Linked DNA regions of Neurospora crassa OR74A. The protein of the gene in region 5 purifies or fractionates together with the protein of the main gene of each other region. This does not show direct contact. Links are inferred from orthologs where the notes say so. Each region holds a gene or a part of one and is shown on either strand. Other genes may lie near its edges. The genes, in order: NCU07954, hsp98, NCU05270, un-10, NCU00366, NCU08046 and NCU03876.

Region 1 (4,266 bases), on a different chromosome or scaffold from region 5:
TAGTACGGCCCATCGTCGCCTACATCAACGCCAAGCGCACCTACATCCCCATCAGTTGCCGGATCGTAAAGCGGCTGACGGACTTTGACGGAGCTTGGACCGTTTGGGACTGTGGGCTGATGGACGATATGAGCGCCGAGGTGTACCGTGCTTTTGCCAGAAACGTAGAGGATCAGCAAAGTAGGGTGAGGAGATTCAAGCGCGTGGGACTGTGGACGGTCAGTCTCGTGGTACATGCGTTGCTGGCTGGCGTGGCGGGAGACTTGATGTGAGCCGTCATTGGATATGACACTGACGATTATAGACTTTTGCCTGTATTTTATCAGGCGGGTAGAGGAAAAGTCTTGTTTTGTGACGATATGGGGTTGTGTTGTACTATCCTTTTTTCTCTCTCTCTTCTCTACTTTACTTTACCGTGAGGGGGTTACCATACCTTTCCAAGCGGTATTTCACTGTACTATACATACATCAAACATACTTATATGGCTCTGAAAAACAGGAGCTCGAAGGAACAGACAGGCAGGCAGGCAGGCAGGCAGGTTATGGTTATGAACAGGAGGGAGGGGATTTGAAACTGGTTTACGCTCTTAATGACCCGGACGGATCGAATTACTGGCTGGAATCATATGAATGCGGGAGGCGAGGTGTTTTGTGTGCCCTGGTTTTGTTGTCAGTGATGATGGTTGCTCAGGGCAGATCAACATCGCGATCGGAGTTTTAAGTGTTTTGATTAGGGTACAGCAACATTGTCTGAAAAGTTCACATGGTGTTCATGGTCGGGAAATATCACCTGTTCACTGGTGTAAGTTTCTGAGAGGGTTCTGAGATGGTGACTGAAATAGTGTTGGTTGTAATTTTAGCCATGGCATCGATAAGAGAACCTCACACCAGGATGATATGCAGCCTGGACTTTCGAAACGTGATGCTCGCCTTCATTATTGAATGCACTCTAAATCTACTTTCCCCCATGCTATATGGTATCTGCTGCCTTTTCCCGTCACCCCCAAGTCGCGACTCGATCAGTGCCCCAAGAGGCCATCCTCCTTTTTTCGTCCAGTCTGGCACTGATGACGACTCTGATCCCTCATGCATCCATCCAAGACATCATGCCACTGAACCTTACGTCCGGACGGCGGACGTGCCGTGACCGTTGCGCGGGTGTCGTGGTAGTCTACGCTTTCTTTTTACGCCATGAAACACACGCAACCGCTACTTTTTTGCTTCGCTCCGAATGCTTCCCGGGTGAGATGAGTATTATACCTGGTGAAGGGGATGATTCTACATCCCTTGATGGGAAGAGGGACTCGAGGCCTCTCTTCCTCACAAAGCGAACGATTGTGATTTATCGGTAGAAATCTTTCACATGAAGTCATCACTAGAGCGAAACGTTAGCAATCGTTCCCCACGCGTATCTTTTCTCACTCCACCTCAAGCCAACTTACTCTCCGAAAGCATCATCATCATAAGTGTCGTGGGCCTCAGCAATGGCACCACCACGACCAACACCAGCGAGCGAGGTCTTTGTCTTGGCAGCCTTGCTCTTCTTGCCACCCTTTTCGGCAGCCTTCTCCTCCTTGAGCTTCTCGTTGCTGAGAGCAGTCAAGGTGCTAGCAATCTTCTTGATCTCGTCGCTCTTGAGGTCCTTGGCGAGCTGCTTGGAGAACTCCTGGAGGAAGAGGGTGTAGTGCGGCTTGGGCGAGAGCTTGCCGATCATGGGGCCAAGAGTGGTGCGGAGGGTCTCAAACTGGGTCTTGGTGGTAGGGTTGAACAAGGCCAAGGTCGAGATGTCGATGGTGTTGTTGGGGTCCTTGGGGTCGATCTGGACAATGGTGCCCTTGCTGACGACCTTGCGGTCGTTGCTGATGCCGATGCCGGCAAACAGGTCCTCAGCGTGTTTAAGATCGGACTCCTTCTGCTCGCGGCGGAGGCGCTCGCGGCGCTCGGCCTCGGTCTCCTCCTCCGCGTCCGAATCCTCAGCCAGCTGGCGGGCGCGCTCGGCCTGACGCTCGGCGATGCGCTGCGCCTTGGACTTCTTGTTGGCGGCGGCTTCGGCCTCAGCCTTGGCCTTGGCCTCGGCGGCCTTCTTCGCCTTCTCGCGCTCTACCTCGGAGTCCTCGGCGGCATCCCACGAGTCGAGAACGTCGCTCTCGTTTCCCTCCTCATCGTCGAAGCGGCGGCGGCCGGGGGCAAGGACAGGCGAGTTGGGGGCGGAAGACTCCTCCTCTTCCTCGTCTGTGGTGATGAGGGGTTAGTTAGTCTGGGTTTCGAACAGGTTGTGGTGGCGCAACAGGAAAGTCGATGCAAGAGTTGGTTCTGGTTGATCTGTATATATAGGCTGCGTCGCTGAAGTCCAATTCGCCTCAAACATGGAAGCCTCGAGGCATATGGCAATGTTAACAGCGTCTATCGCAAGCCGGCGCAGGCATCAGGCAGCCTTGTCACGGCGATCGCGGCCGCCCACTTTCGCCGACATACACTGTTCGCGGGGTTCGTCTTGCGCAAAGAGGGAAAAGGCAAGGAGAGCGAGGAAGACTTACCCCACTTCTTTCCAGACATGTTTGCGATTTGGTAGTGACGATCTAGAAAACCGAACGGGTCTTTGCGACAACGATGTCTGGCGCGACGAGGAAAAGTTTGCGTGCTGTGGTTGGTTGTGTCCAAACTGCAAAAGAGAAGCCGATCGCAGTCTTGAGAAGTTGAAAAAGCGAGCAGGGGTCAGCCACCTTGAGTGTGGTTCCGTTCGCAGTGGGCAAAATAACTAGGTATTGTTAGCGGGGTTAGAAGACCAACAGTGAAACAGCAACAGCGTTTCACAGGTTCTTCAAGGTTCTTTAACGTCTAAGATTTTAATACAATGCCAAAACTGCCAGGGAAAAGGGCTTTGTGACCAATTGGATTTCATTGAGAAGATGCCCGATGAAGATGAGGAGGAAAACCAGAACCTCCAGACGCCTGGGGCGGCTAGTCTTCAATACACAGGAATCGTCCCCATTTATTCCTCCCGTTTATGTTTTACCAAGCACCTGACTTCCTCGTACGTCTTGCTTGCTACCATCCCTTCTGAATAACCACTTCCTTCCCATCTTTGGTATATATCAATGCCTTCCCTCCAGAAGGCTTTATGCGGGGTCAGTGCTGTGTCGCACGGGCCCGTCAGTCAGGGTCGGTGCTGAGTCCTGACAAAAACCATCAGTTCGCCAACATGCCCGTCTTTATTTCCCTTTTTCTTTTCTTTTCGTTCTCTTATCTTTTAGGACATCTTGTATATGCACGATGCATGCACCATATATGTACGGCCTCGGTCAAGCAGCATGTGCTAGGTGCAGCAGGCCTAGAAGGATGGCTTTTTGGAGAAGTCTGTTAACGCATGTGGAGAGAATGATTCATAAACAACTAGGTGGATGCTAAAGCTCTGCTCTTTCACCAAATGTTCTGGACCAGGAGTCACCCGAAAATGCCCTGCGTCGTCAATATTTTGTACACCACTTCCACCCCGCTTCCGACACGGGATAATATTTGGACACTTGCAATTGTTCCTTCGATCCTACACTCTACGAATAACTACCACTGACGTCACAGCAAAGTTAGAAGTTTAACATGAAGCCATTCGCAACTTATGGCCCAAGACATTTGTTTGTATATTTGCAGGTTCGGAAGCAACCAAGCCATTGCTCAGTCATGCTGTGTGTCCTATGAGAACAAGTGCGACTGGTGTTCCGTTTCCCTCCGCTCGCTATTACTGTCAGCAAAATCTCCAACACATAACTCGCCCAAGTGCCCTGTCAACCAACCAACCAACTATCAATGATCTCGAAATCTCCTGTGGCTGTCTTTGTGTTGAGTCACAATCCCCCAGTCTTAGTGTACTTGCTCAGGGGCTCGCTGTTCTTCTGGATATGTACAAGGCTAATCCCGAGAATGTTGCGGAAGTGGAACTGCGCCCTATGGCTTGTCACCCGGGAGGTCCCGACACCGCCAAACAACGACATCCAGCTGACCACCACAATCGATGCCCGGTTGCCACTTTGAGGATTCAAAATGAAATTTTGTCCTGGTTGAAGATCTGGAGCTTTCCGGGTTCCTTTCGCTAGCGCCCGCTATTTGCTTGTTCCTGGATTGTCTTGATGTTAAAAAATGGAGATTGCTTGGGCAGTGTCGGAACTCTATTGCTCCTTTGAGACCAGGGACGGACAAACTCGGTGTTTTCAGTCAGCTCTCGTATTCCAAATTTTTCCCTGAAAGGAGTTGCAACTGGGGGCAGGAAAG
Region 2 (4,194 bases), about 950 kb from region 5:
TGGTTGGATCAATCTTGCCGTCCTTGGCGTTGGGACGAGAAAGGTACTCAGCACCCAAGTTAGACGTCATGACAACGATGCAGTTCCTGGCATCGACGACTCTGCCCTGACCGTCCGTGATACGACCGTCATCCATGAGCTGTAGCAGAACGGTCAAGACCTCCTTGGCTGCCTTTTCAACCTCGTCAAAGAGAAGGATGGAGAACGGCTTGCGGCGAAGGGCCTCAGTCAGCTGGCCACCAGAGTCGTGACCGACGTAGCCGGGAGGAGCACCAATCATGCGGCTGAGAGAGTGACGCTCCTGATACTCAGACATGTCGAAACGGATCATGGCCTTAGGATCATCAAACAGGAACTCGGCAAGAGCCTTGGTGAGCAGAGTCTTACCGGTACCCGAAGGACCGCAGAACAGGAAGCTGGGAGGCTGGTTGGGGTTGGAGAGACCCGACCGCTGCAGTCTGATAGCGTTGGACACAGACTGAACGGCCTCCTTCTGACCGACAACAATCTTGCTGAGATGCTTCTCCATGTGCAAAAGCTTCTCCTTCTCGCTGGTCTTGAGGCGTGTGACGGGAATACCGGTCCACCGTGCTACAATCTCGTTGATCTGATCGGGACCAACGACATCGGTGATCATGGCACCGCCGGTTTCGGCCGCAGCGGCGTTGAGCGCAGCGTCAGCCGCAGCCTTTTCCTTCTCAAGCCTCTTGATTACTGCCTCCTGCTCGGGGATGGCGTAATACTGAAGATCAGCAGCACGGCTGTGATCTCCCATTCTGCTAGCCTCTTCGGCCTTTTGTCTCAAGCTCTCAAGCTTCATCCTGGCTTCCTGGAGAGCCTTGGCTCTCTGTTTCTCCTGTTCGTATTTCTCACGGAGGGGTCTGAGCTCCTCCTCCACATTCTCGGCATCCTTCTTCGCCTGTTCAAGACGAGCCTTGGAAGCCTCATCCTTCTCGCGAGACAAGGCGTGAATCTCAATCTTGAGCTGACGCAACTTGCGCTCCAAGGAATCGATGATTTCGGGCTGCGATTCTCGAGCGACTCTGACTGCGGCAGCCGCCTCGTCGATCAAATCGATAGCCGAATCAGGAAGTCTGCGGGAAGTGAGGTAGCGGGCCGCAAGATTTGCAGCGGCCACAATGGCAGCATCGGAAATAGTGACACCATGGTGCACCTCGTACTTCTCCTTGAGACCACGTAGAATGGAGATTGTCTCAGAAACGGAAGGCTCCTTGACAATGACCTGCTGGAAACGACGTTCAAAGGCAGCATCCTTCTCGATGTACTTGCGGTACTCGGCCAGGGTGGTAGCGCCAATGCAGTGAAGCTGACCACGGGCGAGCATTGGCTTCAAAAGGTTGGCCGCATCCATGCCACCTTCTCCGGACGCGCCAGCGCCCATGAGCAAATGGATTTCATCGATGAAAAGGATGATCATCTCCTTGGACTCGGAGATCTCCTTCAGAACTCCCTTCATGCGCTCTTCAAACTCACCCCTGTACTTGCTACCAGCCACCAGGGCACCGACATCAAGAGACAGAAGCTTGCAGTTGGCCAGATTGTCGGGCACATCAGCGTTGACGATGCGCTGAGCGAGACCCTCAACGACGGTAGTCTTACCGACACCAGGCTCACCGATAAGGACAGGGTTGTTCTTGGTACGACGTGAAAGAATACGGATCACTCTCCGAATTTCCTCCTCACGACCAATGACGGGATCAATCTTGCCTTCCCTGGCCATGGCTGTCATATCAATGGTGAACTTGGCGAGATTCTCGTGCTCCTCTTCAGTGTCAGCATTGCGAGAGTCGACGCGCTTGGTACCGCGAATGGCCTGGATGGCATCGGTAACGAGCTTTGGCTTGGGAATGTTGGCCTCCTTGAGCGCATTCATGATCGAGGGCTCCTCGGCCAGGGCTGTGATAAGGTGGTCGACGGCAATGTATGTGTCTTTTTGCGTCTTCTGCAGCTCGTTGGCCTTGCGCAGGACTGTATGGAAGGAAGGAGCCATCGAGACATGGTCGGGAGGAGGGTCTTGGCTGGGGAGGCGGACGAGGGCCTTCTTGAGGGCGCGGTCGAACAGCTGGGGATCGCCGTGGGCTCTCTCAATGACTTGGCGGAAGAGAGAGCTGGTTGCCCCGGCTGGTGCATTTTGCTGGTCCTTGCTCGGATCTGGGAGAGGGTCGAGAAGCGCGACTGCCAGATGAACGGGGAGGAGTTGCGAGTGGGCGTATTGCTCTGCCAGGGCCATGGCATCCTCCAATGCCTTCTTGGCCCGGTCTGTAAATTCCATTTTCGACGTCATGATGAATTAGTGTGCGAGACTCTGTTGGTCCCTACAGAATTTGTGTGGTGTTGTGTTTCGATTGGGGGTGTGTGTGTATGTGTTATTGTTGATGTACAAAAGAGAAAAATCGCGGAAATGTTGAGATGAAGCTAGTGTGACGTGAGGCTTCACTCTTGATGTATATCTTGGAGAAGAAAAGAACAATTGTGTTTGGGGTATCTCTTAGTAGACTTTTGTGTTTTGATCTGGGGAACAAACAAAGAATCGCTGACGGGGGGGAGAGGTCAGAAGGAGTGGAATTTATTCGTGAGCCTTGGTGGGGAGAGAAGTCGCGAGTTGATGCCCGAGCTGGCCGTGCAAGAGCAAGTGGGATGAGTATCTACCTCTAGCTGCTTCTCGATGGTCCTCGCAGCCTGTCGCAAGTAGAGGTAGCTGTGCGGGCGGGCGCACGGGAAGCGACGACATCATAGTGACAAGCAAGCAGGCTGCCCGCAAGAACGAAGCGACTCGAATCTTCAGCGGTCTTCCTGTCACCATATACTGTTGGCTCCTGTTCGGGCTTGAGGGGTATAAAGTGGGTACCTGGAGGGCGGGGCACATGGAAGCTTTCCAGTGGGGTCCGCGCTTTCGGACTGTCTCTCCGTCATCGCAGTACCTGCATCGACCTGACTCCAACCAGAGAGGATTGTCGAGACCCAAACAGCTGGACGTTACTGCAATGCTTCTTTTCACTTCCGTCTTCTCCTTCCACTATAATCCTTCACCGTTGTTCTTTGTCTTCGTTTGCGCAGATGAACAACAAGGGACGTTCTCTCCCAGTTGGACGAACCACAATGTCGGTATCCTCACACTCCAGCATCTCTCTCTCACCATACATACCTTTTCCCATCTACAGGTCTGGCCAAGAAGGCGCAGTAAGGTCTTCGGCGATTACCGCGTAAGGGAAGCTCCTTGCGCATCCGTGATTTCTACGACGAGATAGTCGAATACGTAATGTTGCGCATCGTGGTGGGTTGGGTATCATGAGATTCCTCTAACCAGCGCGCCCAACGTGAGCCAGTTTGGTTGGTCACACTTCATATTCCTTCGAGATGGATGAATTCGGTGCATTCGGTGGTATTCTATACCACAATACTCCCACGTCTCGTTTGCCACTATGTAGTCATCAACACCTCCCCACTTGAGAACCTCGGACAGGAACGGAGACACTGGTTGAGGAGTCTGAATGGCAATCGATCAACTCGATGCTTGATACTAGTTTGGCTTCTTTTTGTGTCAGTAGAAGTTGACTTATAATCCCTCTTTGATGGGTGCAAGGCCATGGCTCGACCCATTCACGACCAGAACCACAAGCTGCCACTTCCAACGTCAAGTGGCCTTCTAGTTACGCTTTTGTCAGTTGAACAGCGAGCTTCTTTGCTGCGATATCACTCCGATATGCATTACAATCTCTGGAAAGCTAACTTGCACGGTTAACCCTGCCAGCAATCTGGGCTACCAGGACGATTGAGAAGTCAGCCAGGCTCGCCGCGCAGGAAAACAATCGTGTAGATGAGGACCGAATCCTGAAAGAGAGTAGCCCGCTGGATACAGCTGGAGATCATTGGCCTCGACTGGGGTTTGTTTCTTCCATCACACCAGGACTTGGATGAACATCGCGATGCAGGAGTTCCCTCTGGAAATATAAACTTCATGGATGTGGCATATTATCCGCTTCAGGTTGTCACTTCAGTTGCCGGCCTGTGACAGTGTCGCTAGGGCGGCACGCTGGGGTCGCGCACGGCAAACGTAGAAGCGGGTAAAAGTGGGACTCGGCTATTTTAGCTACGAGTATCCACTGCAGCCATTGCATCTAAAGCGGAGAATTGATGGCTTGGCGTCTCCCCATTATCGGAAGAGTGGGTTTC
Region 3 (4,102 bases), on a different chromosome or scaffold from region 5:
CAAGGAGCCTGGAACGCACCCAAGTACGGCCGGCTCATTAGCACACCGAACGATGCCGAGATGTTGGGAATAGCCATGGACGGCACCATGTATCACTTTACGCTGCTTGATCAGCACGCATTGCGTCTGTTGCGATTCATTGTCAACTTGTATAACCTCAGGGGGAAGAGAGACGAGGAAAGGCTGCTGCACGCGGAGCCGAACCTGGGTCCCACTGAGCCGTCGCATGTGGATGGTGATGTGCTGAAGACACTCTTGGATGCGGAAGTCTTGCAAGAGCTGATCAACACGGAGGAGCTGTTGGCGCGGTTCAAGAGCCTGTTGGATAAGTTGGATGGAGGCAAACATACTGCTGAGTGGATGGGCGAGGGCACTGCGGACCAGTATTTTGAACTGGCGTATAACGTGTTGATGTATTATCTTAGGCAAGTTTACTAAGTGCTTGGAATTCTAAGGCGGGGGGGGGGGGGGGGGGGAAGGGCAAGATACACTGGTAATAAACGGACGTGTGATCCAGTGTCGGCCTACAAGCCGTCCTGATGAATGCCTTGGTGGTGTAGCTACAGCATAATAGAAAAGCGAATAAAGAATATCACTAGCAACATCTGGTTAATGAAATACCCATTATGACAAGGTGAGGGAGTTGGCCTGCCCCCTTGGATGGAATATCGCACAAAATACACCAAAGTGGTAGAAAGTAAATACAGAAATTAGCCCAGCAAGTGCCCCACTTGTGCCTTAACAAGCAGGTGCCCCGCATTCTGCACCAACGAGTCGGTCACTGTACTTGTACGCGGGAGTGCAGGAGCTTCCACTTCTTTTTCACCACTGCACTGTACTGTACTGTATTTGTCTTGACTGCTGTCTCCAACAGTCTGTGCAGTGTCAAGTCAAGGGCTTGGTCAAAGCGACACCTCCTGGCTCCGGCACAAGTAAAAAAAAAAGTTTGGAGTGGCGATCCTTGTCTGGATTTTTCTGCTGAATCGAGACTCCTTTGACTTTGCGACTTCGACTACTTGGGATTGAGTTAGAGAACGGGACATGATTGCCGTTTTTTGACCGTAGACGGAGACAATACCAAACACTTTATACGGGTTGAAAGAAAGCGCATAGGCAGACGGTGTAAGTACAGGTACTGAGATAGGTACGTACCTGACCTCTATATAGTGTAGCAACAAACCAGAGCGGGATTCGATACAAAGAACAACGAAAGAAAAAAAAAAGATCCACGGTGCCAAGTACCTACAGTACCATCGATCCACTCTGCAGCACCACCACCGAAAAGTGATACAAGTGACAAGCCCTATCCCGTCGACAAGGGGGGACCTACAGCACCAAAAAAAGTACGCCGCCTGCCTTCTTTAGCAGCCAGCCATATCGCATATAACGGCCCAGTAGCCCCAGTCGGCCGCCCCACGAACCCACCACCAGAACCACCTAGCGAGCAACGAGGTCTTCACCCGGACTTCGACTTTCGTCACAAGGAGAGAAGGAGAGCCCATCAGGATCCTCTCCCCCGCCCATCCTACCGACGACATCCCCGCCTCAAGGTATTCCCCGGTCGACTACCAACAGTCCAGTTAGCCCAACATGGCGCCCAAGAAGAAGGGAAACAAGAAGGCCAACGATGACTGGGAGGCCGAGCTGGGCGAGTCCATCGCCCCCGTCAACAACAACGGCGCCGATGCTGCTGCCGCCTCTCCCGCTGCCGCCGACGACGAGGCCGCTTCCGGTGGTGGCGGTCTGATGGAGAGAATGCGCAAGGCCAAGGAGAAGCGCAAGAAGAAGGGTCTTGCCGACGACTGGGAGGCTGAGCTGGGCGAAGACGCTCCCGGCGCCGAGAAGCCCGCTGCCGCCGAGCCCGTCCCCGATCTGTCGGCCAAGGTCGCCGAGGAGGCCAACCTCGACGACGAGTTCGCTCTCCCCGAGAAGAAGGGCAAGGGTGGCAAGGGCAAGCAGCAGCAGCAGCAACAGAAGGCTGCTCCCGCCGCCGCCGCCAAGAAGGACGAGGATGCTGCCGATGAGGATGGCCCTAGGGTGTTGACCAAGGCCGAGAAGGAGAAGCTCAAGAAGGAGCGTGAGAAGCAGCGCAAGAAGGAGCAGGTGAGTACCCAGTCATTATCACTATTACCCACTAATGACTATACATACATCAGACACAAACGGAAGACTAACAACAACTTCTTTTCACTAAACAGGCTGCTGCTAAGAAGAAGGGCACCACACCCGCCGCCGCCGCCAAGGCCGAGCCCGCAAAGGAGGAGAAGAAGGCCGAAACCCCCAGCCCCGTCTCGACCCCCGCTTCCACTCCCGCCCCCGAAGCCGCCGCCGGTGGCAAGAAGAAGAAGCTCCCCGCCCACCTGCTCGCCCTCCAGAAGCAGCAGGAGGAGCTGCGCCGTCGCCAAGAGGAGGAGGCTAGGCTCCTCGCCGAGGAGAAGGCCAGGATAGAGGAGGAGGAGCGCGCCGCTGCCGAGGAGGCCAAGCGCAAGGAGGAGGAGCGCGCCCGCAAGAAGGAGAAGGAGAAGCAGAGGATCGAGCAGCTCAAGAAGGAGGGCAAGTTCATGACCAAGGCCCAGAAGGAGGAGAAGGCCCGCAACGAGAGGAAGCTGCAGCAGATGTTGGCGGCCGGTATCAAGGTCAACGCGCTCGAGGGTGAAGAGTCCAAGAAGAAGCCTGTCTACGACGACAAGAAGAAGAGGGCTGCTAACAAGAAGGTGAGTCTGTCCGGGATTCTTGCTACAATTACGGTATACTATGGACGGCGCTAACCAGTGTCTACTTGCTACAGAAGGACGAGGAAAAGGCTCTCGCCGAGGCCGCTGAGCGCGCAAGACTCGCCGCTGAGGCTCTGGTCAAGGAGCAAGAGGAGAAGGCCCGCATCGAGCGCGAGAAGGCCGAGAAGGAGGCTGCTGCCAAGGCTGAGGCCGCCAAGGCCGCCGCTGAGGACAGCGTCGACGAGGACTGGGAGGCCGCTGTTGCCTCTGACAAGGAGGATGTCAAGGACAGCTGGGACGCCGACTCCGACGAGGAGGAGGAGACCAAGAAGGAAGAGACCAAGAAGGAGGCTTCTAAGCCCGCCGCGGCCAACGGCAAGACTCAGGCCAAGAAGGAGGAGTCCGAGTCCGAGTCCGAGTCTGAGGAGGAATCTGAAGAGGAATCTTCTGAAGACGAGGAGGCTACCGCCAGGGAACTGGAGGAGGCCCGGAGGAAGAAGGAGGCTGCCGAGCGCCGCGAGAAGGCTCACCAGGCCGCTCTGGCTGCCAGGTCTGCGGACAACCTCCGCTCGCCTATTTGCTGTATTCTTGGTCACGTCGATACTGGTAAGACGAAGCTGCTCGACAAGATTCGTCAGACCAACGTCCAGGAGGGTGAAGCCGGTGGTATCACTCAGCAGATTGGTGCCACTTACTTCCCCGTTGAGGCCATCAAGCAGAAGACGCACGTCGTCAACAGGGACGGCAAGTTCGAGTTCAAGGTTCCCGGTCTTCTTATCATCGATACCCCCGGTCACGAGTCTTTCTCCAACTTGCGTTCGCGTGGTTCTTCGCTCTGCAACATCGCCATCTTGGTTGTCGATATCATGCACGGTCTCGAACCCCAGACTCTCGAGTCCATGAGACTGCTCCGTGAGAGGAAGACGCCCTTCATCGTCGCTCTCAACAAGATCGATCGTCTTTACGGCTGGAAGAAGATCGAGAACAACGGCTTCCAGGAGTCGTTGGCCCTCCAGAACAAGGCTGTCCAGAACGAGTTCAAGAACCGTCTCGAGCAGACCAAGCTCGCCTTCGCCGAGCAGGGTTTCAACTCGGAGCTCTTCTACCAGAACAAGTCCATGGCCAAATACGTCTCCTTGGTCCCCACCTCTGCCCACACCGGCGAGGGTATCCCCGACATGTTGAAGCTCATTGTCCAGCTTACCCAGGAGCGCATGGTTGGCTCTCTCATGTACCTCTCCGAGGTCCAGGCTACCGTTCTCGAAGTCAAGGCCATCGAGGGTTTCGGTATGACCATCGATGTCATTCTCACCAACGGTATCCTCAGGGAAGGTGACCGCATTATCCTATGTGGTACAGAAGGCGTCATCAAAACCAATATCAGAGCC
Region 4 (3,970 bases), on a different chromosome or scaffold from region 5:
ACGGGCATTCTCTCCCTTCTCTTCTGTGGTGCCCTCCTCGAAGATCTGGGTGGGGCTAAACGAGGCCTGGAGATGGTCAGGCGGTTGGTTAGTTACGGTGAGCTCGGAAAGATGCCCAAAGTGATGTACAAATCAACTTGCCATGATGTAGAAGAAGCTTAAGTATTAGACAAAAGGTCGGGGATACGGGGTGCACAGGGGGTTGAGGTTGGAAGAGAAGAAGAAGCAATTGAAGCTTGGTAGTACTATATTTTGGGTGGACGTTATGGATACCCTGAACGCGAAGCCTCCTTTCTACAACAATCTGCCAGCAGCGGGACGGATGATGCTCTTCTGAATTCCAGGCACTTTTTGGACGGCAGGCCACGGCAAAATTCCAGAGCTTCCTGTTCCTCCTTTACCTCACCGCCTGCGACAGGTGGCATAAAATGCTTGTCACTCGCATGCCAGGCCGTCTGCCCCTCCTTTGACAGACAAAATGTCCACTTGAGGTGAGTGGGCAGCAGGGGACCCCACTTGGACGTCTTCCGTGGGGAAGGAAGAAAGGGGGGGGGAGGGGAGCTTTGGGCTGGCAGCGGCGGCGGCGGCGGTGGATAGTGGTGGACAGCGCAGCCAGCACTTTGAGAAGCGAGGAGCCCAGGGGACTACCGTCGAGGCTCAAAGCCAAGAGGAAAGGGAACCTGAGTCGGTGCAACGAACGAACCGCAACCTTCAGTCCACTTCTTGACTTCAAAGTGATGGCAACTTGAAACCTGTAAACTCTGCTGAAAGCGGACAGACGTTGCCATGGTCAATATTGGTTCCGTGCACAAACGAACAATGCTTAGCCCACTGCCTGCCGCCATCATTTTGTTAAAAAGAAAGGAAACCGAAAAAGTTGTAGTTGATGAAGAATAGAGACAGCATCGAGAACTTGACTTTCCCAGGCTGAGTGTTCATTGCGACTGTGCAATATCCATGATATCTGAGGCTCCGTCTTCTTTAACCTCCAAACTATCCACCCCATCATTGCATTCACTGACATAAATTCCCATTTTGGCGATTCCAGAGAGAGGGGATCTGGTAGGGTAGCCAATCAACGTGCATTATTGCCTCCTAAAGTGGGGCATTCCCTTCACTGTCTTCCCTGGTTCTCTGGCCGTTCTCACTGAACCCCACCACAATCTGCGCGCTGCGCACAAATTCTCACAATAATCCTGACGACCGCATAAGCCAGCACGTTGTTCCGCCCGCGGCATCGCAGAAAAAATCCGAAGCGGCCAGCCCAGAATCCCGTCATCCACCAAGTCCAACCACCACCACCACCACCAGAGGCGCCTTCCCGACCCGTACATCGCCAGCTACCACTAATCCCCGGCACCCACCAAGCATAACAGACTGCCGATTAATTGCCCAGCATGGCGCCCTCTTTCGACCACCTCCGCGACGAGGACCTCGACGAGGATGACTTCGATGTTGATGAGGTCGACATTTCCGATATCCGCGAGAAGTACGAGGTTCAGCTTGAGCAGGGCTACGATGCCTTTGTCGTTGTCGACGGCCTCCCCGAGGTCAACGAGGAGCAAAAACCCAAGCTCGTCAAGTTCCTGTTGAAGAAGCTCAACACGGTTGGCAAGACCCGGGAGGACCTCATCTTCATGCCCATGGGCGAGGATGGAAAGTCGCTGAGGTATGCAACACAGCCGCCGCCTTCAAAATGATGCGCATCTACAGACCGGCCATCCATCGCCGCGCCCGAACCGCGATGTGTCCCTATGCTGTGCATGTTGGCTCCCCGACCAGGCCACTGATATGAATTCTGTAGGTTCGCCTTTGTCGAGTACTCGTCGCCCGCCGAGGCCGCTGCCGCCTGCAGACAGCTCGACCTCGTCCCCCTCGACAAGAAGCACACCCTCCGCGTCAACAAGCTTACCGATGTCGACCGCTATGGTCGCGAGGGCCGTATCGATGACGAGTACACTCCTCCCAAGATCGAGGAGTTCCAGGAGAAGGAGCACCTCCGCTCCTTCATGGCCGACCCCAGCGGCCGCGGCAGAGATCAGTTTGTCATGTTCAGGGGAGAGTCCGTTGGTGTCTTCTGGAACAACGAGAAGGATACGCCCGAGAATATTGTTGACCGCCAACACTGGACCGAGACCTTTGTGCAGTGGTCGCCCCTCGGTACCTACCTTACCTCCGTCCACGCCCAGGGTGTTCAGCTTTGGGGTGGTCCCTCGTGGACCAGGCAAAGGCGTTTTGCCCATCCTTTTGTCAACCTTGTCGCCTTCTCTCCCAACGAAAAGTACCTTGTCACCTGGTCCAACAGGCCGATTTCGATTCCTGAGGAGGGTCACCCCGCTCTTTCTGTAGAAGACGACGGCAAGAACTACGTTATCTGGGATATCGAGACCTCCAAGCCCCTTCGTTCTTTCGCCCAGCTCGACACCCCCGCCGCCGCCGAGGGCGAGGCTCCCAAGAAGGCCCCCAAGTTCCCCTGGCCCGCCTTCAAGTGGTCTGCCGATGACAAGTACGTCGCCAGGCTGAACCCCGGCCAGTCTATTTCCGTCTACGAGCTTCCGAGGATGAACTTGTTGGACAAGACCGCCATCAAGATCGAGGGCGTTGTGGACTTTGACTGGGCTCCCGCCACCGTGCAGCGCGACGGTGTCAAGTCCTACGAGCAACTTTTCTGCTTCTGGACCCCTGAGATTGGCAGCAACCCCGCCAGAGTCGGCTTGATGAGCATCCCCTCCAAGCAAGTTGTCAGGTCACTGAACCTCTTCAGCGTCTCGGATGCCAAGCTCCACTGGCAGTCCGAGGGTGCTTATCTGTGCGTCAAGGTTGACCGTCACTCCAAGTCCAAAAAGTCTCAGGCTACCACTCTTGAGATTTTCCGTGTCAAGGAGAAGGGAGTCCCTGTGGAAGTTGTCGACACCATCAAGGATACCGTAATAAACTTTGCCTGGGAGCCCAAGGGCGACAGGTTCGTTATCATCACCACCACCGAGCCTGTCGGTGCCACCGCGGTTCCCCCCAAGACGTCGGTCGCTTTCTTCTGCCCTGAGAAGGCCAAGGGCAATGCTGTTGGAAACTTCAAGCACCTCCGCACTCTCGAGAAGAAGAACAGCAATGCCATCTACTGGTCGCCTAAGGGACGCTTTGTGGTCGTTGCCACTGTTGCCAACACTCAGAGCTCTGATCTCGACTTTTACGACCTCGACTTTGAGGGCGAGAAGCCCGAGTCCGACAAGGACCTTACCGCCAACCTTCAGCTTATGAACACCGCTGACCACTACGGTGTCACCGACGTTGAGTGGGACCCCTCGGGTCGCTTCGTTGCCACCTGGGCTTCCGCGTGGAAGCACTCTGTAAGTATCATTGGTATTAAATCAAGATGACGTGCAGCAGAAATCGCTAACGTGAAACAAAAACAGATGGAGAACGGATATCATCTGTATGACTTCAAGGGTGAGCAGCTGCGCGAGGAGGCTATCGAGAAGTTCAAGCAGTTCCAGTGGAGGCCGCGCCCCGCTACCCTCCTTAGCAAGGAGGAGCAGAAGGCCATCCGCCGCAACCTCCGCGAGTACTCGAGGATCTTCGAGCAGGAAGACGCCGAGCGCATCAGCAGCGCCGACGTTGCCGTTGTCGAGGCCCGCCGCCGCCTCCTCGAGGAGTGGTTCGCTTGGCGCGAGGCCATCAGGCAGGAGGTTGCCGAGGAGCGCGAGATCTACGGCCTTCCGGCGGATCCCGTTGCCGACCTCATCAAGGCCAAGACCCCCGAGCTCGCCACCGACCAGGAGGAGCAGGTCATCGAGGAGATCATGGAGGAGGTGTTGGAGGAGACCGAGGAGATCGTTCAGTAAATGTGCGAATAGGCGGCGGCAGTAGTTTGATATGTTGTGAAGTTACATGGCGTACCGTTTTTTCCCCGTTTTTCGAAAAGGTCATCTGAGGGTACAGTGAATAAAATGAACTGGGTTCTTTCATATCT
Region 5 (4,258 bases):
TTAAACGTGATGTACTACCGTAGTGGTGCCATCTTAACAGTAAAGTGAGCACTCGTCCATGACACTCACGAACATCAAGTCGATAACACATAATGCTGAGGAGATTATTGGGACCATAAGAGAGTAGCTAACAAGCAAGTGGAACCCGATGTGCTGAAGTAGGTAGACCTCGATGGGGCACTGTTTCGTCGACAACGACATGAAGGCGCCTACACCCGGAACCGACTGTCTCGGGCACTTTGATCTTGATGATATCTCGTAGCCGCTTCGGGAAAGGACTACAACGGCTCGGAGGATAGAGAGATTCAGGCATTCATTATGTTTCTGGCATCGCTTGAGCAGTATACTGGAATATGTAGAGATATAAGTGACGTGTCAATTCAACGACTAACTAGATGACGTCCATGAAAGCCCCGATAACGATACACAGACACAGGAAAAGACATCCCTTGAGTGCGAACCATGGGACAAACATGAACCAAGACCTGAGAGTGAGTGGAGAAAACTGATCGCAACCCTTTCACGCATTTATCCATCTGCTTCTGGGTTTTGCATCCTCAAAACAACACAAAAGAGCAAGCTAGACTAGGCATCAAGCGGCAACGGAAGTAGTATCCTCAGTGGCGAGGGACATGATTTACTCATCGTCCTCCTCCTCAGATTCCTCCTCCTCAGACTCGGCCTCGGCGAGCCAGGTGAGGAAGGGCTCAGCAGCCTTGCGGATCTTCTTGGAAGTAGAGCCATCGACGTACTTCTTGGAAGCCTTGCTACCCCACTTGGTGATGACCTCCTCGGAGCAGAGGTCGTGGTGGTAGTAGAGCTGGAGAATCTTGACAATCTTGTCATAAGACTCCTTGCCGAGGTCGGCAAGGAGACGCTCGGTACCGCCAAGGAGGGCCTTCTCGTGACGCTCGGAGGTAACGAGTCTCTTGAGCATAGGAGCACGCTTGGGGATCTGAGCAACAATGTTCTCGTCAAAAAGACACTGAACAAGAACCTGGACGGTGCGGTGCTTGGCATCAATGCCGAGCTCCTTGGCCTTGAGGTAGATCTCGACATCGTCGACATTGTTAATGCCACCCTTGGCCTTGGCTTCATCCTCGATCCAAGTGCCGAGCTGGTCGTAGACGGTGTTTCCACCCTCCTCCTCCTCGTCTTCTTCACCATTCAGGACGAGCTTCTGCTTGAATTCGCCAGGAAGGTTCTGCTGACGGGCACGGACGGCCTCCTCGCTCATGTCGACAGCCCACTCCTCCTCCTTGGGAGCCTCTCTCTTGCCCAACTGCAAGCTCTGAGCCTCAGACTTGATCTTGCGAGTGAGCTCATCATCGTCGCTAGCATATTCAATGTTCTTATCCTCGATGGCAGGAGAGGCCTGGTCGGAACCGTTCTCGTCACCGGAACCTTCCTTATCGCCGCCGTTCTGGCGAGCCTTGCGGGCCGCCTTGCGCTCGGCCTTGTCCTTCTTGCTCTTCTTGGGGACGTTCTTGAGGATGAAGGAGGTCAGCTTGAGCTGGGGCTCAACCTTGCTGCGCTGGCCACAGGCCTTGCAGTCGAGAGTGATCTTCTCGTCCTTGATCTGGACAACCGTCTCGGGGTTCTTGCACTTCTTGCAGAGGACAAACTTGGCAATGAAGCCATCGAGAAGATCCTGGAGCTTGGCGGCCTCGTGGGAGCCGTTGATGATCCAGCGGTCATCAGGAGGATCAATGTTGGTTTGAGCACCAAGCTCGAAACCAAAGTACTTGATCAAATAGCCACCGGGACGAGCCAGGGACTGGGCAACGCTGCTGAGGTTGACAACGACGGTCTTGATACCGTTACCCTTGCCTTCAATCTTGGTCTGGATACGCTCCATCTTGTAGCGGTAGAAGGGGTCGGGGTTGTCCCGACGAACGTTGATAAGAGCACCCATTTTGGCGGTATTGACGGCGAAACAGGATGATGTTTGTAGTATTGTTTTGTTGGAGTTTGTTGGGAGTCTGGTAGACGATACCTAACGAGGGCAGACTAGTAGACTGGTCGACGATGTCGTGGAAAGCGAGGCTTCTTGTTGCACGGAGAGCGTGTGAGGAAGATCGAGAGGCGAGACGAGCCAAAGGGGTCAGTTATTGACGAGTACTTTGAGTTGACATAGGGTAGACCGTGTGGTTAACGAAGTCGAAGGTAGGCATTAACGCTGGCAGACGACCGTGGGAATGGCGATTCAACCGTCGGTACTTTGTTGGAAGCTACAGGGTTTCCGCGATATGCGAAAATGCAGCTTGACGGGGGGAGAGTGTCGGAAGACGGCGTGCTGGTCGTGCTGATACATAAACAACGCTGTGTCGCGCAAAATGCTTATGTTGGGTCTGGTGGTGGTTGTTGTTCTGAACCTGGGCGGTGCTGGAACAGAAAGCTGGGCGGGAGAGGATGGCTTTTGAGGCAAGCGAAATTTTTTTTCTCCCTCTGTGACGAGCGGGCTTCCTTTTCTTGACGGAGCGGAGCGGATGGAGTCGAGTGACTTTGTGTGGGTTTCTGCTGGGATAGTGGATTCACTTCACTTCCGTGGTGCGGCACCCGAAATCCGGGGGAGGTGGAGTTGATGGACAGATGGACAGAGAGCCCGGTCGCCTTTGTGGTCTTGGATAGATTCAAGGACGATGTCGCTGCTGATGGCGGTTGATGGGTAGAATGAAGTTGAGGTTAGTTTGGCAAAAAAGAGGCAGCAAGCAAGAGTTTTTAAAAAAGGACGAGAAAGCAAGTGGATGTGGATCGGTGCTGCAGAATGGAGCCAAACCGGGCACGGGCAACAAGGCGGGCAGTCACTGGACGAGCAAGCAAGAGGATTTGTCGGCCAAAGGATTTTCGTGGTGCCCTGGCTAGCCCCCCCATGTACTGTACACTACCTAGTGTAGTACCTGTGGCTCATGGCAGAGCAAGTCTAGGGTACTTCTTGTTTGGCAGGTAATCACCACCACCAGCGGGCTATGGGCAAAGTACCCGAGACATGTGTCCGTTCTCCAAGCCAGGCAACACCAGTTGCCGTGCAGGTACTGCGTGCAGTTCGTTCTTTCACACACTTCGTTTCGACACCGACAATGGAAGAAGGTCCCGTCGCGTTCCATTCCTACCTGCTTACCATCTCCCCGCCCACTGCAACGGGCAGCACAGCAACAGGACGGACGCGCAATGGCGTATGTTCCGAATGGCAAGTTAGGGAACTTGAAAGATTTTGATGCCATTTTGCCCCTCATCCACTCGGCGTTTCCACGCCTCTGCTTTCGATGCTCGAGTTCCGGCCCAAGGAATGCCTCTTGCAACAAGCTGACTCGCCGGACGGTGGCCAGAAGGCACCTGGACACAGAAGGCCGGATGAAAAGGCGGGACTCTTTGATGACCAGCCGGTATACACTAGAAGATCCACGCAGATGGGGGCGTTCCCTGTGTCTGTGCAATGTCCATCCATCCACACCAGAGACCAGTTCCACTTTGGTTCATTGTACTTTCAGTAACCGAGCCAGGCGGAGGAGGCCTTTGTAGTTGTCGGTCAAGTGAAAGTGACGGTCTCCCTCTCCGCCGTGTGCCTGGGTGTCTCACAACAATTACAGCTTGTCTGGGAAAGCCAATTTCTCTCCTTGGGAAACTTCGGAGTTACGGGGATGTGAAAAATGGGCGGCATTCGGGAAGAATCCGAAACACACGCGATATGTTTTGTCAAGGGAAGGCGGCAATATCAATCAACGCTTAACCAAGTCAACTACCTCTAGGTATGTACACTAGACTCATGCGACAAGCTAGTGTAGAACCAGCCCGCACCAATATCTAGGTAGATCTGTATCCGGCAAAGCGCCCCCCCAAACAGGCAATTACTATGCACCTAAGTCGTTAGGTATTGTGTACGGTTTCTTTCAGGGACGGCATCTCTCACCTCTGCGTCTCTCATTCTCAAGCCAGGGGCATCTGTTTGGCTGCAGGTATCATGTATACTTTCATAGCTCGCAAACAAACAACTTGTCTAAATCTCTTGATGACCTTTCGTGGCCATTTGGCAAGACACCAAGACTGTCAAACATCTATACTTACAGCTACATCTATTGTAATACAAGCCGTCTAAAACACATCCCGCAAGACCCCTGTACCATCACCTACTGCCCACCGATCGGTTCAAACTTCAACAGACACTTTAGCCCAGCCGGCCTTGTCGATATAAGCTGGTCCTCCATCTCCATGTCCTCCTCCGTCATCGTCTTATCCGGCACCGTAGTGAACTTGGAAT
Region 6 (3,790 bases), on a different chromosome or scaffold from region 5:
GAGGAGGAGAAGGAAAGGCAGGAAGGGAATGATACTGATGGAGAGAGTGATCATGACCGAAGGAGGAGGAGGAGGGGAAAGGCAAGAAGGTCTAGGGATGAGAAGGTGTAGGGGTTATGATGGGCGGGAGGCTATTGTTCTTGTGTGTTCATGGTGTTGTTGCTGAGGTTTCTTTGCGCCGAATGTCCCCCCCCCCCCCCCTTTTTTTTTTTTTTCATTTCATTCTCGAGTGATATTTGTTTCTTATTTCTCTTATAGGCAACCAGCCATTTTTCTTTGTCGACATCTTCCAAGACTTCATGATTTATGAGGGCAGGGCGGAGGGATGAACGACTTTTACGGTGATGAGATGAATGAGACAGGAAGATGAAGAGGATGAAGGGACGTGCCGGCTGCTTTGAGAGAGCTCAGGAACTTACGGTCTTTGCGATTGGTCGGTTGAGTTGATGATAGGACATCATAACAGATTCTGTCACCAAGTAATATAATGTTTGATGCCAGGGACGTTCAGCGGGATAGATAAATGCACTGATAATAATTCAAGAGTTCAGAGAGGCTGTCAGCTGTTTTAAACACTGGCATGCGCCCTGAATCGACAAGAAGACCACACTGTATTCTGAAGAGCTTCGGTGCGTTTTGGGCTCCTGTAGTCCGGGCATGTTGCCAGTCTATTACACCGATCTTGTTCAACCTGGAGTTAGCCCGTCATCCATGTAACAAAAGTCAACTATAACCACCTGGCCACCCTGGCCCGATATGCTTAAAAGGCGGAAGAAATCTCTCGATCATGACAAATTTTGCCGCTTGTTCCCCATTAGTATGAACCCCCACAGCAAGAAGAGACAGGAACCAGATCAAGTAATAGTAGTATCAAAGAGTCCTTTCCCATTTTGATGACGCACTTCCTTGTGCAGACCGCATTAGGGACCAAAACATCGCTGCTTCTTCCATCATTCCTCTAACCCCTTCCTCCCTCTCCTCCGCCTCCTCGTCCGTCTAGAAGACCCATTAAGTTTACGCAGCCTTCTTCGCGAACTCAACCCTAAGGATCAAATGTCTGAAACCGAAACCGTCCATCTTGGCGCAAGCCTTGACAGCGTCGCTGCGATCAGCGAAACTGATGAAGGCGAAGCCCTTGGCAAGACCCGTATCGCGATCCTTGGCAAGGAAGACACGAGTGACGCGACCGAACCGCTCGAACATATCGCGAAGCTCTTGTTCCTCGGCCATCTCGGAGACCTAAGCGTAGAAAACATGTTAGCACGAATCAGTCCCGTCATAATAACCCCTCTTTAGGAGCAGAACAGAGCAGCTTTTGCAAGTCTGTCGCCTACTCCCTCTTTCCCTTTTCCTTCTGCTTCTTCTTCTTCTCCACCACCACCACCACCTCCTCCTCCTCCTCCTCCTCCGCGTCCTTTTGGGGGACACTAGGGGCAAACGTACGTTGGTAACTCTGAGAGTGGCGAGATCGTCGCGCTCGCCGTACTTGCCGCCCATCCTCTCTCCAGCAGCCGCGGCCCCACCGGCACCACGCAGCGCAGGTGGCACGTACGAGCCCTTCTTGCCCGCGCCCGCCGCACCCTGGGAAGCGGCAGCAGCCTCGTCAGCAGCACTGGCGGCGACGTCGGCGGCAGCGCCGGCCTCGCCGATGGGGGCCATGGTGTCCTTGTAGGGACAGCGGGCGGTGAAATGCTCGCCGTTGCAAATACGGCACTTGACCTTCTTGTCCTTCAACTTGTCCTTCATGGCCTGGGCGTTGGGGTCCTTGCTCTCATCCTTGGCTTCCTGGCGCCAGTTGAAGGAAGGCTTGAAGATGATGTTCTCGCCGACCGAGGTGGTGTCGGGGGCCGGGCCGGCGCCGTCCTTGACGCTAAGGCCGAACTTGGTCCACGACTTGCGCTCAGCGACGCGGGGGTTGACGACCTCACGGTGGGTGATGTAGCGGATGCGTCGTGTGGTCTTGACCTTCTGGCCGTTGTCGTTCAGGCGGTACTCGATGATGGTCGTGCTGCCATCCTTGTTGGTGATCTTCTGAGGGGGCGGGAGTTCGGTGGAGGTCTCCTCGAGCTCGTCATCGTCGGCCCAGTCGTGCCTGAATGGTCGCGAACTATGTTAGACTCTTACTCTCCGAGAAATCAAATGCATACGTGTTGGGTTGTGAAGCACGCCGGAAAAATGGCAATCGGGGGAATCGGGGGCGTGGATGCAGACGGGCGTTTGCTGTCGAGGCAAGCGGAGGAGTACTGACTTCTGTTGAACGGCAGCCATCTTGACAGTATGTGGTTGTTTTGATTCCGCAGGTTCGGCTCGTCTGGTGATGGGTGCGGTGGATGACTGAAATGGCCGTGGGTTGTCGTCGCGATGGGTTGACGTTGCGCTGGTTTGGCGGCGATTTTTGGTGGGGCTCAAGTTTGAAAAGCCAGGGCAGTTTTCCCCCCCATTTTTTGGAGGTGGGAATTTTTGGATATTTGAGTGTGGGGCAAAAATTGTCTTGCTGACTCGGCTTTCACTCAGGAAATCAGCCCTGTTTGGCAGCTAACGGTGCTCTATCCTACGTACAATATCAAGGCAGCAGATTCGCACATGACAGCCAATACGGCTCCCTACAAACGAAGCTTCGTTCTTTGACAAAGCAGGACTGGTCGCATCCAGACGTATACGTTGAGGTGTTTTGCCCCTTCTTTCATTATCCGCTTTGGGTTGCTTCCACTTCGCATCCATTAGTGGGGGCATCACAGGCATCACAACCCTAACCCGAACGTTGCTCCTCCAGGCCTACCAGGGGCAGGGCGCGGCGCCGCAACATGGAGCTAGCTCAACTCTCTCGACACCAGGACGTGTTGTACATAGTAGGTACCTTTGTTTGCAAGTTGATGGCTGGCACCGAGGTTAAAGTTTGAGAGTTTGAACTCGATTCAGATTTCTCCAAGCATCCATATCTGATGCTCTAAACTCACTGCTATCTAAGTTGGCCACGGAGCCTGCCGGGCACCAGCTTTCTTCTGACTCTGTGACCCCCCTCCTCCGATTGAGAATCGAAAACCACCCCGCCCTTCATGCCCACCACACTCACCTCCTCAATTAATCACCTACATACACAGTAGGTACCCCAACATTACATAATACAAGGTATATGGCAAAAAAAGACAAATCCCGCACCAAATCGACCTGACAAAGGAGATCGTTCACACGTTACGTTCCGGATGTCGCCGGTGGTATAAATGTACCCTCATCACCTGGGTATCCAGTATCTTGCTTCCTGCATCCTTATTCCATCCATCTAACCGGTATCTTGTTTTTCGACTGAACCCGACCTTGAAAAAAGAGAGACAAAGGAAATGGTGACGGAGTCAATCAGCGGTTCGATGGCGGTTTATCTCTATCAGTTGAATCCCCAGGCGCCCTTTGCTCTGCAAGTATTGTCGCTGACAGATACTCGGAAACTTCAGTGGTCGTGCTTCCTAGACGTCCAGAAATGGCGATGCGTTGAATGATGGTATGGCGCCAGATACGAGTAAATGCAAATCACAGCTCAAGGTGAATATGCTGAGTGACAGACTTGAAGTGACGATTTTCTCGGGATTGGAGGAAGGGCACGATTCGGCGGGGGAGCAGGTGGGGGACCTTCCGCCAGCTGTGTCTTATTCCGTCGCGAACCCAAGCCGCCGTTGGCAACCGACAAAGACCTAAAATGGGGCGCGGGTCTCGAGCCCTGCTTCGAAAGTGAAGTTGAAGATATCTGGGGAAGGTCGCCGAGATCGTCACCGAGGTCACTCAGATCAAGGAAACT
Region 7 (3,763 bases), on a different chromosome or scaffold from region 5:
GGCAAGGCTGCCCCCAAGGGAAAGAAGAAGTAGACCGCCTGATGGTGGTCCAGACCAAAAATACAAGCTACGGCACATGTATTGACTTGGCTTGGTATTCGAAGCTGTAGTTGCGTTTCATATGACTGGGTTAGATTGGGTGAAGGGGCTCGGTTCACCACTGAGAAGAGTCCAGGGAGGGTTAATGCAGTTGGCTCGCGGCGTTTCCGTTGTGTCGTATTCATGTTGCGGTCTCGGTGATGGTTATCTCACCTGCCGTCATTTAGCGAGGGATTTCTCTGCCTACCTGAGGAACAAAAGATATCCTTTTGGTCAAATCCGTTCTCTGATGGATGAATAGGGCATGATGTGCGCAGTCTTGTACTTCCTTTACCCCTGTATTATTGTTTCCACTTGTGTTGGATTCTTATTGACCATAAGGGAGTGAGTAAGCAATTGGCGAAAGACCTCTACTTATAACGTCCAATCTGATATCACATGAACGAGGTTGCGCAAGATAGTAAGCAGAAGAACGACCGAATTCAACTATGACAAATGACTCTTCTGTGCTTCGATAGGGACCAAAGGTTCCTTTCGTGACAAGATGGAAATTACATATCCGCTCTCCGCGCGACTCACTTGTTCGTTCGTTTGCTTCACATCGAACCGCACCACCTCATCGCTCCAATTTTTGCTCCTTTTCACTTTTTTTTTCACCAAATATTGGGTGGAATCGCCCAAATTCTCAGATTAGGTTGCCTGAAAAAAACGCCGTTTGTGAAATGCCCATTTCCCCCAAATTGTTGGATCCCTGGACGCGCGATGTAAAATAACCCGTTTGCTCATTTCCTTCCTCCGACAAGTCGAGAGAATCCTGAACTCAATAACACGACACCCATATTTCGTCCCGCGAATCGCCTTTCCGCCCCTTTCTGCCGCCCCTCCTCGGATCCTGCTTGCTGAAAGTCCGAAAGTTTCGATCGATGTCGATAGAAGGGATCCGTTTAGGCAGAAATGGTCTGCTGTTGTTGCTGGTTGAGCTTGTTTTGCCTCTCCCTCTCGACCTCGTACATAAAGTCAAAGTAACCCTTGTCGAAGTGATGGATACGGACGTAACCGTCCTCACCACCGCTGGCGTAGCTCTTGCCGGTCGGGTCGGCGGCAACCGTGTTGAGGGGACCGAAGTGACCGCGCACACGACCAATTTCGCTCTCGAAGATCTTGTGGTAGAAACGCGCCTCGAATTTACCCTGACGCGCGGAGGTGGTGGTGACATCCATGGCAGCCTGACCACCACCGAGAATGACGAAGTCCTTCTTGCGAGTGATGGTAGCGCTGTTAAGAGGGGTGTCGGCGGGGTAGGTCTTGAGGACCTCCAGGTCCTTAGCTGTGATGAGCTGTGAAAATAATCAAGGAGTGTTAGCATGCGATTGACTGTTCATTGATTTCGGTTTTAAGGATCCGGGAAGAAGACCAAAGAAAGAAAAAAAAAAGGGGGGGGGGGGGGGTTGTGGAGCCATGTGACATACCTTGGAGGTCTTGTCCTTGGAGGCGGTAATGAAGTATGTACGGTCGTGCGACCACTGGAGATCGGTGATGGGCTGGTTGAGCTCGTGGATGGGGATGTTGTAGAGGAGGTCGCCGTTCTTGCCGTCGAACTGGGAGACGGAGCCGTCTTCGTGGCCGGCAATGATGTACTTGCTGAGATAACTCCAGCCAGCAACAGTGGCCTTGCTGTCCTCGCAAACGATAGTCATGGCCTTCTCATCGCTCTGCTCGGCGTCAACATCGAGCTTGATGTCGAGGACAACGATGGTACCCAGATGACCCATGCGCTTCTCCGTCACACCCAGAAGCTTGCTGCCATCCTCACTGAACTCAACGCGCTTGACGGCGGTAGGGAAGTCCCATGTCTTAAGAAGTCTGCCGGTCTTGATCTCCCAAAGGCGGATGGTGTTGTCGGCAGAACCAGAGGCGAGGATGGTGGATGTGGGGTCGACATCAATGGTCCAGATGGCGCCCTGGTGGCCGTGGTATGTACCGAGACGCTCGCCGTTGTGCGCGAACCAAACGCAAATCTGCTGGTCCTTGGAAACTGAGAAGAGCAAATCACCGTCGCGGTTGTACCTGTTGGGGGTAAAGGGTTGCTGTTAGAGGCTGCATCTCTATATGCCCGACATGCCAAAGCCAGAACACCAAGAGGGGTCGGGTCGGCGGGTAAGGTATGCGATGATGATGCGGAGGGAAGACGAACTTGATCTGGGTGAGGGCACGTTCGTGGCCCGAAAGAAGAATGGGCCTCATCTTGATTGTGGGTTATTAAATATGACGAGGCGTGGACGGCGGTATGGAAGTGTTATGGTCGTTAGAAGACACTGAGTGGATTCGTCGTCGAGAAATATCGCGGGGGGGGGTTGCACGACTTGGGAGGTAGGTGGGTGGATTAGTGTCTTTGTAGATGCGGTCGTCGTCGTCGGATCGGTCTTTGGTGTTCTTTCTTTGGGTGGATTTCCACTCCCAGTAATTTTTCCGCAGATTGTGCGCGATAGGCTGGCTGGCTCTGGCGGATTCTGACGGCCGCGGGGCGAACCAACACCTATCCCTGCAGATGCCAAGCTGCCCCTCTCCAGTCCCTCGTCCCAGCCAGCCGTGTGCCATCCATTGAAGCTGCTGGTTTCAGTTCGGACCGGACTCTGGACCTTGCGATGCAGCCTGCCACCTCGATCCGCCGCTCGCAGCCTGCCGGCCCGTCGACAGCCACCGATAAGAAGTTGTGGCTCAGTCTGTGACTCAGAGTTTAAGAGTCAGCTGTATTCGTCAAGCCTGTGCCGCGGCCGCAAGCCACACCAACTTCAATCTAGAACAACGACACAGACAGGACAGTGCGAGCACATCATGATCCGAGCTGCTACCTGCAGCAAGCCGAGAACTTGTAGAGTCATGGATGCAGCATCTAGACACCCACTTCAATTGCAGTTATATGAATGCCCTCTTCCGGGGGTCGCATCGAGGAGGAAAAGTTCTTCAACTCTCGGAGATTTGTAGACGGAAATAGAGGCTTTTCTAACGAGACATGGTAGGATTCTTGCAAGAATGCATGGTGAATACGTACTATTTTGAGAAGCTTGGGTTTGGGCTCTATTCTATTTAGGTTATCTCATTGGCTTCACGTTTTGTTGTCACATTTACACTGGTCATTTGCGGCACGTCTTGAGACGCTCACCTTCGGTGACTCCTCGAGAAGGGAAAGAAAGAAAAAAAAAAGAAAAAAAAATCACAAATCACGAAACCTCTATTCCCGCCAGCAAACCGGCGATCATTGGATCCTCGACATCGATCCCCCGTCGTCTACCTAGGCGGGAACCCATTGTGACTCTTCTGTGCGGCGCAGAAAACCCCTGGGTCCCGAATCCGTCTGGTCCCACCCCGTCGTGGAGGTGCCCGGGGGCGTCGAGAGAGCTTGGCCGGGCGGAAGTCTTGAGCTTCTGAATATCCCTTACCCCGAGCCTGCGTCCGCTGCTGTTCAGTGTGATGTTGTTACAGCACGCACGCAGAAAGACCACTGCACCCTTCTTCTAGCTCTACAGTACCAGTCTGCGTCGTGTAGGCATGGCCATCTCCAGCTTCATCCAGAGGGTGTCTTCCACGTCAAGGAAGTCGCGTCGAGCCGGAAGCTGTCTCACATCCCTGTCCGCACACGGGTCGCTGAACACACGGCGGCGCATTCAAGTCGAGCATACGGGACAAGACGTGCTCAAAAGATGGACATTGTCGTGGGGCACGG

What was found.
Region 1: the proteins of NCU00366 (region 5) and NCU07954 purify together in Saccharomyces cerevisiae (affinity purification with mass spectrometry; 5 studies listed by BioGRID, with this or other methods). This does not show direct contact. The link is inferred for Neurospora crassa OR74A from reciprocal best matches to the Saccharomyces cerevisiae genes TIF5 and HCR1.
Region 2: the proteins of NCU00366 (region 5) and hsp98 purify together in Saccharomyces cerevisiae (affinity purification with mass spectrometry; 3 studies listed by BioGRID, with this or other methods). This does not show direct contact. The link is inferred for Neurospora crassa OR74A from reciprocal best matches to the Saccharomyces cerevisiae genes TIF5 and HSP104.
Region 3: the proteins of NCU00366 (region 5) and NCU05270 purify together in Saccharomyces cerevisiae (affinity purification with mass spectrometry, with the first as the bait; 3 studies listed by BioGRID). This does not show direct contact. The link is inferred for Neurospora crassa OR74A from reciprocal best matches to the Saccharomyces cerevisiae genes TIF5 and FUN12.
Region 4: the proteins of NCU00366 (region 5) and un-10 purify together in Saccharomyces cerevisiae (affinity purification with western blotting; 16 studies listed by BioGRID, with this or other methods). This does not show direct contact. The link is inferred for Neurospora crassa OR74A from reciprocal best matches to the Saccharomyces cerevisiae genes TIF5 and PRT1.
Region 6: the proteins of NCU00366 (region 5) and NCU08046 purify together in Saccharomyces cerevisiae (affinity purification with mass spectrometry; 4 studies listed by BioGRID). This does not show direct contact. The link is inferred for Neurospora crassa OR74A from reciprocal best matches to the Saccharomyces cerevisiae genes TIF5 and TIF35.
Region 7: the proteins of NCU00366 (region 5) and NCU03876 purify together in Saccharomyces cerevisiae (affinity purification with western blotting; 13 studies listed by BioGRID, with this or other methods). This does not show direct contact. The link is inferred for Neurospora crassa OR74A from reciprocal best matches to the Saccharomyces cerevisiae genes TIF5 and TIF34.

The regions. Positions count from the first base shown.
Region 1 is NC_026504.1:1,231,142-1,235,407, forward strand, and holds the start of NCU07954 (hypothetical protein), read right to left. Parts: upstream 2,801-4,266; 5' UTR 2,557-2,800; coding exon 2,538-2,556; intron 2,233-2,537; coding exon 1,443-2,232; intron 1,376-1,442; coding exon 1,360-1,375; 3' UTR 273-1,359; coding exon of another isoform or gene 1-272. Other genes in the region: pod-1 (mitochondrion biogenesis protein), read left to right, coding at 1-272. UniProt on the Saccharomyces cerevisiae protein: Component of the eukaryotic translation initiation factor 3 (eIF-3) complex, which is involved in protein synthesis of a specialized repertoire of mRNAs and, together with other initiation factors, stimulates binding of mRNA and methionyl-tRNAi to the 40S ribosome.
Region 2 is NC_026503.1:2,635,817-2,640,010, forward strand, and holds the start of hsp98 (hsp98-like protein), read right to left. Parts: upstream 2,801-4,194; 5' UTR 2,306-2,800; coding exon 1-2,305. UniProt on the Saccharomyces cerevisiae protein: Required, in concert with Hsp40 (YDJ1) and Hsp70 (SSA1) and small Hsps (HSP26), for the dissociation, resolubilization and refolding of aggregates of damaged proteins after heat or other environmental stresses.
Region 3 is NC_026504.1:5,514,373-5,518,474, forward strand, and holds the start of NCU05270 (mitochondrial translation initiation factor IF-2), read left to right. Parts: upstream 1-1,302; 5' UTR 1,303-1,590; coding exon 1,591-2,103; intron 2,104-2,198; coding exon 2,199-2,714; intron 2,715-2,788; coding exon 2,789-4,102. Other genes in the region: NCU05271 (hypothetical protein), read left to right, coding at 1-438. UniProt on the Saccharomyces cerevisiae protein: Plays a role in translation initiation. Translational GTPase that catalyzes the joining of the 40S and 60S subunits to form the 80S initiation complex with the initiator methionine-tRNA in the P-site base paired to the start codon.
Region 4 is NC_026507.1:3,330,318-3,334,287, reverse strand, and holds the start of un-10 (eukaryotic translation initiation factor 3), read left to right. Parts: upstream 1-1,170; 5' UTR 1,171-1,397; coding exon 1,398-1,669; intron 1,670-1,804; coding exon 1,805-3,347; intron 3,348-3,413; coding exon 3,414-3,842; 3' UTR 3,843-3,970. Other genes in the region: NCU02207 (T-complex protein 1 subunit beta), read right to left, coding at 1-66, 142-144. UniProt on the Saccharomyces cerevisiae protein: RNA-binding component of the eukaryotic translation initiation factor 3 (eIF-3) complex, which is involved in protein synthesis of a specialized repertoire of mRNAs and, together with other initiation factors, stimulates binding of mRNA and methionyl-tRNAi to the 40S ribosome.
Region 5 is NC_026503.1:3,590,780-3,595,037, reverse strand, and holds NCU00366 (eukaryotic translation initiation factor 5), read right to left. Parts: upstream 2,801-4,258; 5' UTR 1,916-2,800; coding exon 638-1,915; 3' UTR 299-637; downstream 1-298. Other genes in the region: NCU11030 (hypothetical protein), read right to left, coding at 4,128-4,258. UniProt on the Saccharomyces cerevisiae protein: Catalyzes the hydrolysis of GTP bound to the 40S ribosomal initiation complex (40S.mRNA.Met-tRNA[F].eIF-2.GTP) with the subsequent joining of a 60S ribosomal subunit resulting in the release of eIF-2 and the guanine nucleotide.
Region 6 is NC_026504.1:4,018,414-4,022,203, forward strand, and holds NCU08046 (eukaryotic translation initiation factor 3), read right to left. Parts: upstream 2,656-3,790; 5' UTR 2,586-2,655; coding exon 2,560-2,585; intron 2,504-2,559; coding exon 2,249-2,503; intron 2,093-2,248; coding exon 1,444-2,092; intron 1,240-1,443; coding exon 1,015-1,239; 3' UTR 501-1,014; downstream 1-500. Other genes in the region: NCU08047 (hypothetical protein), read right to left, coding at 3,533-3,790. UniProt on the Saccharomyces cerevisiae protein: RNA-binding component of the eukaryotic translation initiation factor 3 (eIF-3) complex, which is involved in protein synthesis of a specialized repertoire of mRNAs and, together with other initiation factors, stimulates binding of mRNA and methionyl-tRNAi to the 40S ribosome.
Region 7 is NC_026506.1:1,995,036-1,998,798, forward strand, and holds NCU03876 (eukaryotic translation initiation factor 3 subunit 2), read right to left. Parts: upstream 2,546-3,763; 5' UTR 2,284-2,545; coding exon 2,234-2,283; intron 2,107-2,233; coding exon 1,509-2,106; intron 1,377-1,508; coding exon 984-1,376; 3' UTR 501-983; downstream 1-500. Other genes in the region: crf4-1 (chromatin remodelling complex ATPase chain ISW1), read left to right, coding at 1-33; NCU03877 (C-1-tetrahydrofolate synthase), read left to right, coding at 3,589-3,763. UniProt on the Saccharomyces cerevisiae protein: Component of the eukaryotic translation initiation factor 3 (eIF-3) complex, which is involved in protein synthesis of a specialized repertoire of mRNAs and, together with other initiation factors, stimulates binding of mRNA and methionyl-tRNAi to the 40S ribosome.